Linked DNA regions of Alligator mississippiensis. The protein of the gene in region 1 interacts with the protein of each later gene in a pairwise test. Links are inferred from orthologs where the notes say so. Each region holds a gene or a part of one and is shown on either strand. Other genes may lie near its edges.

Region 1 (7,592 bases):
TTTAAATGACTGTTGCCTTTTTCTTTAAAACAAATAAAATAAAACCATTCTGTGAGACCAGGCAAAACTTTTCCTGTGAACTCTTCGAAAAACATAGCTTTTGTGTTCAGGGCCAATGTAATTTGTGAATTGGAGTCTGATTCCTGGTTGAAGCAAAATGAAATGCTTGCCTTTCTGAAAAAGGAGATAAAGTTTTGTCTGGATTGTCACAAACTGATCCTCCCTTCTCCCACCCACTTCTCCCACCATTTTGCAGTTCAGCCACTGAACTGAAAAATTCAGCATCTCCTGGGCTTTATTACCAGAGGGATTGTGTCTTCCCTAGTAAACCGAGTTAAGCTTAACTGTGTTTAGGAGTTAGTTGACATGATGCTGACCATGACTGCTTAACCTAGAGAAGGACAAGCTGTGTTCAGCATTCTGGGCGCGTCTACACATTCAATTAATGTGCCTTAGGTAATGCGCATTAAATCTAGTACCTGCATTGTGGGGTACTGGAAAGATGCGTATTGGCTTATTTTAATGTGCATTAGCTAAAGAGCACTTTTTGGGGGGTGATGCTTTGATGCACATTAACATAGGCTAACATGCATTAAAGCACACATGTAGATATGCCCTCGGTTGCCTACTTGGCACATCCTATTCATACACTCACATGCTAATAGGGCACTGTCAAACAGGCAGCCTGTCCTAATCTTGAACTGATAGCCTTGTAAGCTCGCAAGAATTGAGGTGGAAAGGAGGATAGAAAGATGGTGGGAGCACAGTTTGCACAAGTGCATTCAGCAGGGTGTGATCCCACCTGTTGTGGCTTCCTGGTAGATGGGTTTTTAAAAGGGTTGCATCTCCCATTCTCATCTCCATGTGCACCTACACAAAGACAGGGAAAGGAGCGCTGGCAGCAAGACTGAGAAGCTCTTACTCTGATCTCTTTTGTACGTAACAGCCCAGAAGCACTACTCCAGCTGTGGTGCCTCAGCTGGAGGTGACAGACCAACAAGCACCTCTGACCTATTTCCCGTGGCCGCAGCCCATCTCGGCATTACCGGCATCAACCCTGCAGTATCAGCCAGCTTCCTCCACGCTTCCTGGGCCGCAGTTTGTCCCACTTCCCATCTCCATCCCAGAGCCAGCCCCACAGGAACTGGAGGACGCGAGAAGAGTGATCAACACACTGCCCATTGAAAAGCTGCTGCTAGAAGATGACGACAACGATACGTACGTTTTAAATAACACTCTCTCTGTCGAAGGGCTTTAAAGTCATGCATTTGGGGCCTGATGCTGCTTTCCTTGCTCACCCAAAACTCCAACTTGCAACACAAGTTTTGAGCGTAGAAGAAAAGTAGCTTTGGGCCATTTTGTTTCTTCTTAAGATGTTCCTGGCATTCCCCATTACTGTTCCCTTGGTATGAAAATTGAACTTGCAGTGAAATTCCTCTGTATGCGGAGGATGAGGCTTACGCATCATTAATGTGCTTACCATATTAATGCTTCCAAATCGGGTACATAGATTTGGCGTTGACTGTCAACACGGGGTGAATTTCATCCTGGGATGTGCAGGGTGGTCTCAAACTGACACAGGTGTTTTGGTAGCACATTTGCTAATGCTGTAGTCCCCTTTTGTAGCGTGTGGTAAGACAGATTTGCCTACAAAAGTATTAGCAGGTTTAATTTGCGGGTCTATTTTCTAGAGCTCTGCCTAAATATTACGTAGATCTATCTTTGCTTTGTTCACTCCACCAACTCCACTGCCACCGTTAAGTTGTTTCAGAAAAGGTCAGTGACAGTGCTGGGCCTGAAATGACATATCCTTGTAATTAGACAGCCTTTGGAAAATATTCGTTCTACATTTAGGAATAGTTCCGCTCCTGTGTAAGCACAGCTTGGTAGCCAAGCAAAAGGCTGATATCAGAAACAGAACCGCTGAGACACGGGCCTGTGCTGAGATGCAGCCGGTGCTCTGTATTGTTACAGAGCTGCCCCCAAAGAACTGGGCACTTGCATCCTGATTTCATTCACTGAACATGGTGACCAAATTCTCAGACACCTCTTGACCCAGAGCTGCAGAATCAGCCCAGAGCTGTTAAACAGCAGTGAAGTATTTCCATGTGAAATGTTTCCCCATAACATTAGTGCACGGCTCTCCTGCAGTGGCACACAGAACAGACCCTGGGCCCATACCGGTCAAGGGGAGTTCTGCAAGGTGCAGCTCCATGACAGAAGGTCGTGGAAATAAATGACCTGCTAAAACCAGGCGCTTGGTATCTCAACAAAGTGCAGGTGGGTGGCAATGCAGGCAGCTGGCAGCACTGCAGTTCTTTCTCTTACTCCTGAGCCTTAGCCATTGGAATGATGATATATTATCATGATGTATGATACAACATCCCCTGAAACTGGGGATGGGCCATGTTAAATACCAGAGCTGTTGAGGCCTCTAATGTATCTTATCAATATTCCTAGTATTAGAGAGTCTTTTAAAGTCATGGGCCTGAACAGCACCATCATGCTGGTTTATTTTTCTTCCCTGGAAAGCGAGCAGCATGTACTTCCCTCTGTAATGCAATTGTAAAGATCATTATTGGTGTTCAATAGTACCATGCCACGGACCAAGATCCTTGCAGGAGGCTGTATCTCTTTTAGCATTTGCTAATTGTTTCTTGGATTTCCAAGGGAGTCCCAGCTGATGAACACAATTTCTCTGGGTTTTTCTGCTTCACAAAGCCCAGGATCTTCAGATGATTCTATATTTGGAAGAACATTTTTGACTGAATTTATTCAAAGGGCTGCTCCCTCACACTGTCATGACCTGGTGTCCAGTGCTCCATTTCTTACCCAGGCAATATTTCAAATGGCATCTCAGATTTTGCCTGAGTAAGGACTACAGGATGAGGTTGAAAGTCCATAAGAATTTCAAAGCAGGTTTCAAAATTAACTATTGGCAAATCTAAAGGATTTAAGCATCAGATCATATCAGCGATCATAAAGTTGTCTGAAAACTGCAGTCATTTTGGCTTATTGATGATATTAGTGGCTTAAATTTGCAGAAAAACCCAGCAAAGAAATTAACTAGCAGAGGCTTGGTTCACCACTGTTTACTCCAGGTTTGCAAAGACAGCCAAGTTATCCTGGTCTAGGACTGGGGTGGCACAGTTGTGAATCAGACCTGAGGTTGCTCCAATTTGTGTTAACCTTCTTTGAGTTTCTTGTATGTAAAATCCCCTGGTGTGTACACAGTGATGATGTGTTGTCTGTGAATTTCTTTCTGGGTTGTTCTGTTAAATGAAAAAAAAAAAAAGAAAAAAAATCTCAATAAAGATCTACAGTAACTTTTCTATGCCTAGAGTGTTTTCTTTTCCTAGCTGTGGCATTTGGCACACTATAACCACACTGGTCTGAAATCAATAATGTTAGCTTGATAGCATATTTGCAGAAATATAAACAGAGATTAGTGATTTGGCTTTGCACTGATTTTTGAAATATAATGTACACTGAACATGGATGCCAAGACCTGAAAGTGGTCTCAAAACCTGGCTCTCTGGAGTAGTCCTTACTCTTGCAAGTCATGCCTCTGTTCATGTGTGTTTCATGATGCCTGTTATCTCTATCCCTGTAGTGCCTACAGGCTTTCAGTGAGTGTGGGGCATGTCACCCCAGCCTCTTTACAAACACATAGCAGGAGATGCCTCCTGTCTTGAAGGGCCTGAACTCTCAATGGAGAAGATAGACAAGTCAAGCATCTGGGTGGAATAAAGCTGAGAGGTCTGCTGACCTCCAGTCCAGTGGTTTATCTACCTGCTAGATCCTCACCTCCTAGGGAAGACAGAAAAGATTGGCATGATCGTTCATTGGCAGGATCAGGCCAAACTCTGCTGGTGCAGCTGAAGCTCCATCGTGAAGCTGTGCGATGTTACCTCAACAGACAATTGGTCTGTGCAATAACTTTGGACCCTGATTTGTTTCCTTCATATTGTGTCAGCCCTTTTGAAAGCAGATTCCTTTTTGCTAATTTGGCCAAGTTAACTGGCACCCTAATGCAGTTTGATGGATTGATAATGCATTAAGGTTTCAGCACCTTTGTATTTTTTCTCTTGAGGTTGAAAGTCCACATACTTTAGCTGACGCACTCCCTAACATGGCCCTAGTCCCAATAGCCTTCATTTCATGCAGACGTCTCCTTATTCTGGCAGAAATAATCTGTGCAAGAAGTGAGGGGGTGTGGGTTAGAAATCAGACAAGCAGTTAACCTTTGCAGGCCTTTTCAGACACGGTAGAATATGGGCCTGGAACAAACCGTTTGAGGCGACTGCAAAGAGCAGAACAGAGTCGACTATGAAAACAATTATTTATCCCTCATCTTTTAAGGGGAACTTGCAGAATAATATTTCGGAATGAGAAAGCAGGCCAGCAGAATGGCAATACCACCAATGCCCACCATGTGATATTTCCCATTGTGGAAATTTTAGACCCTAATTTCCTTTCGGTGCACACAGCTGGAGAGTCCAGAGTCCCCTGCGTAGAGCCACAAAGCAGAGGTTCTGTACAACTTAACCGCAGGGATGACCCATGCCGAGGCAGTGATCAGTGTCTTTATTTGCTGTCTTAGAATTCTACATATTTATGCAGCTAAAGGTATGAGGGCGTACACGCTGGCAGCCGCAGAGCGGATGAGAGAACTGCGAAGACTCGATGCCAAGGAGCACAGAGGAAAGGTAAACTTTTTTACCGTTTTTATTTTTAAACCAGGAAACATGCCTTTTTCCTGGTAAAATCAGAAGTGCAGCCTTGGGGCCATCCATGGTTTTTAATTCCATTTCGTGTCTACCATCAAACATGTGGAACACAAGTAATGGGGGTGAATTGCTTGGGGGTGAATTTCACCCTGGGAACAGTGCAAGATTTGCTTCACGGCTTCAAGCTGGTAGCTCAGGCAGGTCAAGCTTCTGTCTCTCCCCCTACTCTAGACCAATACGGCTACAACCTGGATACCTGACGTATCCCAAGAGGCATATTGCACTCTGCCGGGAGCTCTCTCGGGCAACAGGAGGGTTCATTCTTCCCTGCACCGACTCTACTTCCAGCCCCATTTTCTTTTGTTGGTAATCTGTCATGCTGTTGCCAGAGTCTTGCATTATATTTATCTTGGTGCTATTTTCAGACTCCTCTGTTGGTGGCTGTAACTGCCAAGCAGCCAGCCATAGTCAATGATTTGCTACTGACAGGGGCAGATGTCAGTGCTGTTGATGACAAAGGGCAATCAGCTTTACATCTCGCCGCGACATATGGTTACGCCCAGGTCCTCCAGGTAAGAAGGGTTTTATGATTTTAATGGCACACACTGTAAAAAATACGATACAATGGCATGACTGATTGAGAGATCCAGGCCTAGCAGAAATGCCTCCAGAGTAAAGATGTCTGGATGTAAAGATCTTTGACTTATTTTCATGCTTTCCATTCACAAAGCTGAAGCCTATTTGCAATGAATCCACCACTTGCCGCTGTTGGAGATGGCATTTGGGGCTAAATAGACCATTGTTCTGACCCTGTCTGACAGCTGTCATATTCTTATTTTACACTTTAGCCTTTCACTTCCAAGGAACTTGTTGTATCACATCCAGATGGCAGTCGTAATTCATAATCTGAGTTCTGGGCCAAACTTTGTAGTTGAAATCTAGGTATATTATTTATATTGTATTAGTACCCAGAGTCGCAATCAGACCTGGGCCCTTTTGGACTCTGCTTCATATAAACATGTCAAACACATGTTCAGTGCTTTGAGCCCCTGAGTTAGTTTGCTGGTGGAAGAGACAATGAGAAGGTGTAACAACCAAACAGAAGGAGACATTTCTGTTTGTATTTCAAAGGGCACATCTACACAACAGACCTCTTCCAGCAAAGCTTTGTTGGTGGGACATGAGCCCTGATGGATTGGGCTATGCCAGCAAAATTCCTTACACAATCCCTACCCATACAACTCAGCTAGGCTGGTACAGCTCATTGTGCCTAACAGCTAGTGGTAGATAAAGCTATATCAAGAGCAGCTTTGCCAGTATAATCTACATCCACAATGGAAGCACTTTGCCATGACAGTACAGCAGCATTCTTACACGATGGGCGTGTCTACACATGCATTTACGCCGGATTCAATTTACTGTGCAGTAAGCAGGAATAGGCTAGTATCTACATGTGCAGGAGTTAAAGCACATTAATGCTGTGTGTGGACTGACTTGGGACTCATGTTAGTCCCGAGTCAGTCCACACACACCATGTTACTGCACAATAAGAAGTCTACACGCCCGTAACTGTGCAGTAACTAATCAGGCGTAAATGTGATACCTGCATGATGCAGGTATCAAATTTATGCTCAAGTCAGCATAAGACACCATATTTACTGTGCAGTATGGGTGTGCACATAGATTCATAGATGTTAGGGTCGGAAGGGACCTCAATAGATCATCAAGTCCAATCCCCTGCATAAGCAGGAAAGAGTGCTGGGTCTAGATGACCCCAGCTAGATACTCGTCTAACCTCCTCTTGAAGACCCCCAGGGTAGGGGAGAGCACCACCTCCCTTGGGAGCCCGTTCCAGACCTTGGCCACTCGAACTGTGAAGAAGTTCTTCCTAATGTCTAGTCTAAATCTGCTCTCTGCTAGCTTGTGGCCATTGTTTCTTGTAACCCCCGGGGGTGCCTTGGTGAATAAATCATCACCTATTCCCTTCTGTGCCCCCGTGATGAACTTATAAGCAGCCACAAGGTCGCCTCTCAACCTTCTCTTGCGGAGGCTGAAAAGGTCCAGTTTCTCTAGTCTCTCCTCGTAGGGCTTGGTCTGCAGGCCCTTGACCATACGAGTTGCCCTTCTCTGGACCCTCTCCAGGTTATCCGCATCCTTCTTGAAGTGCGGCGCCCAGAATTGCACGCAGTACTCCAACTGCGGTCTGACCAGCGCCCGACAGAGGGGAAGTATCACCTCCCTGGACCTATTCGTCATGCATCTGCTGATGCACGATAAAGTGCCATTGGCTTTTCTGATGGCTTCGTCACACTGCCAGCTCATGTTCATCTTGGAGTCCACTAGGACTCCAACATCCCTTTCCACTTCCGTGCCACCCAGCAGGTCATTCCCTAGGCTGTAGGTGTGCTGGACATTTTTCCTCCCTAGGTGCAGCACTTTGCATTTCTCCTTGTTGAACTGCATCCTGTTGTTTTCTGCCCACTTGTGCAACCTATCCAGGTCTGCTTGCAGCTGTTCCCTGCCCTCCGGCGTGTCCACTTCTCCCCATAGCTTTGTGTCATCTGCAAACTTGGACAGAGTACATTTGACTCCCTTGTCCAAGTCGCTGATGAAGACATTAAAGAGTATCGGTCCAAGGACCGAACCCTGCGGGACCCCACTGCCCACACCCTTCCAGGTCGAGACCGACCCATCCACCACGACTCTCTGGGTGCGACCCTCTAGCCAATTCGCCACCCACCGGACTGTGCAGTCATCTACATCACAGCCTCTTAACTTGTTCACCAGTATGGGGTGGGATACCGTATCGAAGGCCTTCCTGAAGTCTAAACATGTAGACGCACACCCATACTGTGCAGTAAT
Region 2 (8,178 bases), on another chromosome or scaffold:
TGGACTTTGTGATTCCAATTGGGGCAATTTGGTTATCAAAAATCACTTTCCACAAAATGCATCTTTTTGTTGCAAAATGGCTGCACGTGGTACAACTAACATTGTTTTGTTTTCTCTCTCTAGAACTTCTCTCCCCCTAGCCCCGCCTTTAATACCTCCTGCTTTGTATTTTTCACAAAATAGAAGAGAATTTATAGGGTTATAATACATGATTCTGACACACTTCTACAGAACCAGGCAATAAGTGACTAAGGGTCCTGGAATCTAGATTATAGTTCAGGAGCAAAAGGAACCAAGAAACACAGACCAGGCATCTAGGCTGCCAAAAATTAAGCAGCAGTAGGAGAGACAATAAACCACTGAAGATTATTGTAAATTCCCACCTTCCCTGGCAAACAGAAAGCAAGAAAAGGTGATTTAAAGCTAAGTACCCAGCCAACATTATAATTACTGAAACCCATAAACAAGACTGTGCAGAGAACACCAGGGAGAATTATTAAATATACCTATTAATATCTGGTAGAGATATTTTCAGCTACTGCATGCACGCATTTAGCTTATAAAATGCAAATCCAACCAAAGTCCTATTATGCCTCAGTGCTCTGTTGAGAGACCTGGATCTCTTCAGGCTATACAAAAGACGGCTGAGGGGTGACCTTGTGGCCGCCTATAAATTTATCAGGAGAGGACAGCAGGGAATTGGGAATGCGTTGTTTACCAGAGCGCCTCAGGGAGTAACAGGAATAATAGGTGCAAACTAGCGGAGAGTAGATTTAGGTTAGACATTAGGAAGACATTTTTTACAATAAGGGTGGCCAGAGTCTGGAATGGGCTTCCAAGAGAGGTTGTGCTGTCACCTAACTTGGAGGTCTTAAAGAGGAGGCTTAACAATCACCTGGCAGGGGTCATCTGACCTAGGTCCTCTTTCCTGCCAGGGGCAGGGGGTCAGACACGATGATCCACTGGGTCCCTTGCGAGACTATAATCTATGAATCTACAAATGCTGCTTCCCTAGTAACCTAAAACACTGAAAATTAAAAGCACCAAATTCCTGCTAATACTACTGTTAACCTTATGTGCAGAGATACAAGCACGATCTTTTAGTGGGGCAGCACTCAAAGAACGAGCAACAGCAGCAGGAAGGAGTTGTTTGAGTGTCACTCTCCAATCAAGCAGCATTTGAAAGCAGCACAAAGTAAATGCAGAAAGTTAAGATGAAGGGGTTTGTGTTGGTACTTTCTTAACATTAATTAACTAATTCCAAATGGAAATATAACCAACTCTTCTTGGCCAAAAACAGGCTTGTCATTATGCATTCATTTATAGCAAGAAGAGGTCACATTTGGTTGGGCGTAAAAGTTTTGGATCCATTTCAAGTTTCCTCTTCCATACTCTTGTTTCTTCCCAATTTTTTCAAGTAATCTAACCCTTCTCTTCAAGATATGATTAAGACACTGAAACATATGCAAGAATCTATATATTTTTGGTTCTACACATTTTATTCCATCTAACATATGCTAATCAAATTAAAATAGAACTTCTGTCGCTTTGAAAAAGAAAAAATAAATATTAATAAGCTAAATTTAAAAAAAAAAAATCAAGAACACAGCATCATTAGGAATGTTTTTACAAACTAGTTGGCACAATTCTCTCATGGGAAGATGTGAGCACACTGGAGTTTAGTTACATCGTTGATTTTACTAATTACAAAAATACAGTCAGATTAACATCTTACTGAGAGCACTCTGAGGTCTTCCCTTTATTCTGATAGTCCATTATACACTGGATGAGATGGTTATTTTCATCCAACATCTGAAATAACAAAAACATAAACATGGAATAAGTTTAAACACTCTTTGAAAAGGAACTGAAAAAGCGATACTGACTTCCACTTCCTAACCAACATGACTGTTCAAAAAGTGCTTTTATAAAAGGGGTCTGCTACTGCATCTGTAGAACTTTCCCCTCCTCTTATCCTTCTCTCCCCACTTTCCATTTTTAGGGCTGTGTGTCAAGTCACTACTAAAGTTACAGTTGCCAAAGATTTTCTATTTGAGCATCTATTGTCTTCTTATTTTAATGTTTCAAAAGACTCCACATTTGATCTTTGCTCAGATGCTTGTTTTGGAAACTCTATGAAAAAAAAAAAAAGTCCTCTTCCCTACTAGAAAGCAATGTTGATTTAAGAACAACAACACATATAGGCAAAAAAAAAGTTAAAAAACTTACTTACAAGTAGCCCTCAACACGAAGTGCTTTTGAAAAACAAAATCAGAAATTATGAAGCATTTTATTAATAGTTGGCATAACTGGTATGATTTTTCTACCAGACTGTATATGCCTTTGGGATTGTGAGTTCGCATGTATTAATGTTTTAGTCAGAAGCTATTGTCATGAAATAGCACAGCTCCTACTTATCCACAAAAAGGACTCTTACAAGTTTCTCAATGAGTGCACACCAACTGCAGGTGCTTCCTCAGCCTGATGACGGGTGTTTAAACCCGGAAGCTTGCTAAGAAACATTTTTTTCAACTATTTCAGTTGGTCTAATAAAAGATATCAGATGTGCCCACAGAAACCTTGTCTGCCTATGTCTTTAAACCAATACGGCTACAACTTGCACCCCTCCAAAATAATGAAAGTCATAACAGCCAGCCACACGCATCTCCAGGAGAAAATTTCTCCTCCCACTGAACTTGAAATTTACCCTGAAAGGCAAAGAGAGGTGGCAATACCATGGAGCTCATTAGGCGCTTGGCTACTGCTGGAAGTTTTGCACCAATGACTCTCAAGCAGGACGTTGCAGCGCCATGGGGCACGCCACCTTAGCGCAGGAGGCGTGCAAACACGGCTCCTCACGCAGGAACGAGGGGCCACAACACAAAAGCAGCAGGTCTTCCGTTCAAAAAACAAACACTAAGTTTTTTTTCCACCCAGCCTGTCCCTGGAGAGCCGAACTTGCTGCCCCCGCGTGCTGCGGAAGCCGACGCTTGAAGCCAGATGCCCAAAAGAAGGAGTGGACACGTTCCCGGAGGAGAGGGGCCGCGGTACCCATTGAGCCGCCCGCCGGGGAAGCTGCGCGGCTCTCCTTCCCGCCGGGGGGAGCGGAGGCAGGGCCGGGCGGACGGGACAGCCTATCCCTCGGCACAAAGGCCGGGAAAGTGCGGGGCGGGGCGGCGCGGGCCGAGCCCCGGCTATGCCCACCTCCGCCCACCCGCGGGCCCCCGGGGGCAGCGCCCGACCGCGCCTCACCTTCTGGATGGCGGCTGGGGTGATCTCGCCCTTCCCCCGCTGCCTCGGGGCCGCGAACGCCACCGACATGTCGGGCCCCGCGGGCAGCTGCGGCCCCAGGCCCGGCGGATGGGGGCGGGGTGGGGGAGGCGGCAGCTCCGGCCCATGAGCTCAGCGCCACGGCAAGCGGGGGGAGGGGCGGGCTGTCGGGCCGCACCATTCGCATCCCGAAGGAGGGGGGTGAGTGCACACCCCGGCAGTGTAACGCCTCTCCTCCGCGCCCTGCAAGCAGCCTATGAGGAGGCCCCGAAGCCACAGCTCCTCCGCTACGCGCGGGGGTAGGCGGGTACCGAAGGCCGGCTTTTAAGTGCGTTATTTTGGTGGATCCATTTCCTCTCCTCGCCTCTCTTCTCCTCTTGGGACGTGGTACGTTCCTACCCGACGCTCGTCCGGCTCAGAGTAGGCGGCAAGTGGTACGGCCCGGGGGGGGCAGGATGTTCATGTGACAAGGGAAGGCGCGATGTCTCCCCCCTCCCTCCGACTTGGTTGCACCCAGGCAGGGAGCACGCGGGGGCGGGGCCTGCTGGCGCGCTCGCAGCTCCGCGCTCCTTTGACTGCTCAGAGCCCGAGCCCGATGGCGCATGCGCAGAGCCCACGCCGGGCTCCCAGCGAACCTCAGCCTCACGCGTCTGTGACGCGCGTGGGCTTCAGTTCTGTGCCACGCGGGAGAGGGCAGGAGGCATCTGCCCCACAAACCTGCCCTTCACTGGCGCCAGCTGCTGCTCCATCCCCTGCTCTTCCAGCTCCCTCCCCCGTCTGCGGCAGAGATGCCCATTCTCCAGCCATGCCACAGGTGGCTGCCCTGGGTCCAGGAGGCTGGTGCCAAAGAGGAGAAACGTGCCAAGCTGCCACGTTCTTTGAAGTCAGCTCCTGTTTGCTAGAGACAGTGGGAGACCCAGGCGCTGCCTCAGGCTCTGGCTGAGACACTACAGGCTTGCCTTACTCAGCCTGCACTGTCTCCAGGGCCAGATCCAGGCAGGTGCAGTGATGTAGCTGCATGAGCGTTGCCAAGTCCTAAATATGAAATTATCATACTGGAAGTTCAAAATTATTCTATTTGCTGAAAAACTATGGTATGCTGAAAAAGATGCAAATAAGTCTTCTTATTTACTTTATATTGCTCACTATATTATCTGCAGTGAGTGAGTGAGAACTGGGTCATCAAAGTTGAAACATTTCTTTATTTTGAGACAAGTAGTAATACAAAAGTACTAGAAGCAAATCCAGAAGTAATGGATAGAGGATTTATATATATATATAACTTTATATAAATAAATAAATATAATTACAAAAACAAACAAACCCAGAAGTCATTTAAGACTCCCTGACAGTGACTTGGGTTTTGCATATGCTGCAGCAATAAGCTGTCTCAAAAATTAGCATACGTTTTGGGGGTTCAGGTTGTTGCTGTGTTGGTCTAGGGACACAGTCAGACAAGGTTTTTTTGGTAAATCCAGTATCTTTTACCAAACCAACTTAAATACTTGGAAAAAAATCTTCTTAGCAAGCTTTCGGGTACCAACTGAATGGCTTTCTTGCATAGGTACTGGCCTCTTGCTGCTTTACCACTACATCCAGGAAGAGACCAGACCATCTGAAGATGCTTCCTCATTCTGACAAAGGGTGTGTGTGACTGAAAGCTTGCTAAGAATTTTTCCAACTATTTGAGTTGGTCTAATATATCAGATTTAACCAAAGAACCTTGTCTGCCATCATACATGTTGCAGGGTGAACACTTTTACTATTATTGATTGTACATCATACAGGGGTTGAAACTCATACAAATATGATAATTATCATACACCTGGCAACATTTCGCTGCACACACCACCCCTGGCCCCCACTTTGATTCCTGGCTCCACCCAAAGTTTAAAACCAACAGGCTGGCAGTAGCAACAGCGTTTCTCATCTGGCAATGCTAAAGGTGTCAATTGATTTCATTGCTCATTCGTATCCACCTGATTCCTTCCAAATTCTTCATCCCATTGGTGCTAAACTACCCTCTCTCCTTTGAATTGCCTTGATCTACCCATGAAGCTCACCTTTGTTCTACAACACTGCTGTCTGTTTGCTGCTCCTAGGAATGTAGCTCCTATTGCACAGCCCTGCAGACTCTTTTTAACTCATTCCAATGAAGTTATACTTGTTTTTACATCAACCTCAAACAATATCACAGCCCTTGGCCCCTAGCATATTAGTAAAACTTGTAGGTTCTTTTTACCTGAAGAAAAACATGGGTTGTTACATGTGATGATGCACCTCACAATGTGCACCTCCCTTTTCAAAATCCTAGATCTACCCACTACCTCCCAAACCCCAAGTAGGCTATGAGCCCTGGCACATGCTCAATGCCACACTACAACTGCACTGCTACTGGGTCTGTGTGCTGTTGGAAGTTACTATTGTATTCACCCAATATCCTCACTTCTTTCATGCCGGCTATGGTTCTCTCTGCTCTCAGAATGGCATTTCCTTTGCCAGGCCTCTGAATTAGTATCCTCAGTTGACCTGATGCTCATCTGGCTGGCTGGCTGTACTAGAATTGCCTTTGGTCCAATCCTTTCAGTCCAGGTCATTCTAGGGAGGTAGGATAGTGCAAGAAGATTCACTACACATTTGCCTAGGATGTTTCACTTACTGTATTTAATATTTTACTTATCACCATGTTATCTGCATTAACTTTACCTCTCTAGTTCCTCTCCTTTGCCTTCCTCACACAGTTACAGTACTATTATTATTATCCTTTCCTTAGCAATCTTTTGTTTTCATATTATAATGTAAAGTTGTAAGGATTCCATATTCATTAACAGTAACTAAACTCAATGAAAATATAGGCAAGATACTGCAGGACTGTTTTAGCATAGAAAAGAACATTCACACTCAAAGCCTACATTTAAATAATAGCACAAGATCACACAAGCAAGAAAATAAATAGCTACAATGAAAATGTGCCACATGTCTCAGAACACATAACCACAACAGGGTGTCTTCTTTATGACTTTCTTAATGTACTACAATATGCCTAGATATTGAAGGACATATGGCATATTTTCTCCTTAATTGCACATTTCTTTTCTAGTGTGAGTTAGTTACCACCTTAGCATTATTTAATTGTAATTTGGATGTGTAAATCTAGATCACCACCAAGAGTTTAAAACGTGAGTATATTTTATTCAGTTGTTTCTCCCACCTCTGCTCACCTCACTTTGAAAAGTATAGCCTCCTTATTGTTATGAAGGATTTTGATGTTTTCACATCTTTTTTTTTCTGTCCGTTACTCTATTTCCAAGATGACAAATAGCAAGGAGAAATTGTCTGTGAAGCTAACCTTGGCAGAATAGTACATATGACCTCCTGAAAAAACTACCTATTGGGATTGAGTTAATGGCAAGTGAGGAATTTTAGCCCCTTCAGGACAGGACCAAAACTCATTTAATTGAGACTACTTTACTTTTGAAGAAATCTTTCTTCACTTTACATATGAAGAAACCTATGGATTGTTTCCTACTGAGATCTTGTAATAGTACTGAAAAATGTATCCTGCTGCCTAGCTCTTGACTAAGTCCACTGTCTCTGTGTCAGCTTTATTTGAACAAAATTATCTGAATTAGAAAAGCCAGGCAAGAAGAGGGATGAAGAAAAAATCTACTTCATGACCAAGCAGGCACAGAGTTGCTGGCTAGACATTGTAACACTACCGTTTTCAAAACTGCCAGGCAAAAAAGAAATAAAAAACGGGAAAGTTTCAGGGTGCCTCCACCTGCTTTTACCTTTTTGATAGAAGGTTCCAATATCCATTATAAACTTTAGAAGGACTCTAACAAACTGTGTGTTTATCATGACTCCCCAGTAAAAGCCTGGATATATTGCTGACAATGTGCAGTGCTTATTGTACATTTACCTTGGATGGGTGAGAAGCAAGCAGAGTATCTTTAAGAGCTTGTTTTGATACTTTGGGTTTATTAGCTCTGGTTAATTTAGAAAAGTTAGTGTATTTGAAGCCCTTGCCAGGTAAGACTGTTTTCTCATCTTGACATGAAAAAAAGAAAACAGAATATTTTAAATTAACAGCATGAGCACAAAACAGCAGCAGCCAGTTCTAAGGGAGTGACAGGAATCAAAATTTGATAGCTGTGAAGGAAAATCCAAAAAAGAAGAAAGATTAATTTTGGCATAGTTTCTCCCCAAGTTTTCACTGACTGCTGTAAGCCTGATCCTGGAACTGTTTGCTGTGTCAGTGAATTCAGTTGCAATGCAGGGCCAGCACTTTGAGTTCTGCCTATTTGAAGGGGTGGGTTTTTTAACATAGTCCAAACTGTGTTTCTAAACATTTGTTTGTTAACAATATACGCAATGAAGAAACACAACCTGACTGGGGGGAAATGCCCTTTGATTGTGATTTGGTGCAACTCTTTTGGTGCTTTTTACACGGTAAAAGGGATTATATCAGGAGTAGAAAGTTGTCTTGAATTTATTGTATTCATTGGCTAGTTTCTTTTTGCCTAGTTCTTTCCATTTTGACATTTATGTTTTGCTTTGACATTTGTGTAGAATATTAATAAAGAGCAATGCTTAAAATATGAACCTATGTGTTCTGATATAAAATGAACAAGCCAAATACTATTGCACATTACAATGGTATTGGTGGCTCTATCGTCTTCCAGGGAGACTATAACAAAACCAGAAAAAATCCCTGTGATGCTAAATTTTTACTATAGTATCTGTCGTGTTAGTTGCAAGTGTTAATATTTAGAATAAAAAATGCATGCCATGTTGAACAGTCAGCATTAATGGGAGCAAACAGCACCATTGCAGAGAGAAAATCTTTCAGAGTCCTGATTTTATTCTTCAAAAGGGAATCTCAAACTAGTAGGAATGTATGCTATA

The links. The genes of interacting proteins can lie anywhere in the genome.
Region 2: the proteins of NFKBID (region 1) and SS18 interact in a two-hybrid assay, tested with the Homo sapiens proteins (2 studies listed by BioGRID and IntAct). The two-hybrid records come from large-scale screens. The link is inferred for Alligator mississippiensis from reciprocal best matches to the Homo sapiens genes NFKBID and SS18.

The regions. Positions count from the first base shown.
Region 1 is NC_081839.1:31,300,034-31,307,625, reverse strand, and holds the start of NFKBID (NF-kappa-B inhibitor delta), read left to right. Parts: upstream 1-4,521; 5' UTR 4,522-4,556; coding exon 4,557-4,709; intron 4,710-5,155; coding exon 5,156-5,302; intron 5,303-7,592. Other genes in the region: POU2AF1 (POU domain class 2-associating factor 1), read left to right, coding at 947-1,258. UniProt on the Homo sapiens protein: Regulates the expression of IL-2, IL-6, and other cytokines through regulation on NF-kappa-B activity. Functions in the regulation of inflammatory responses.
Region 2 is NC_081826.1:85,083,853-85,092,030, reverse strand, and holds the start of SS18 (protein SSXT), read right to left. Parts: upstream 3,403-8,178; 5' UTR 3,322-3,402; coding exon 3,253-3,321; intron 3,045-3,252; exon of another isoform or gene 2,748-3,044; coding exon of another isoform or gene 2,736-2,747; intron 1,813-2,735; coding exon 1,736-1,812; intron 1-1,735. UniProt on the Homo sapiens protein: Appears to function synergistically with RBM14 as a transcriptional coactivator. Isoform 1 and isoform 2 function in nuclear receptor coactivation. Isoform 1 and isoform 2 function in general transcriptional coactivation.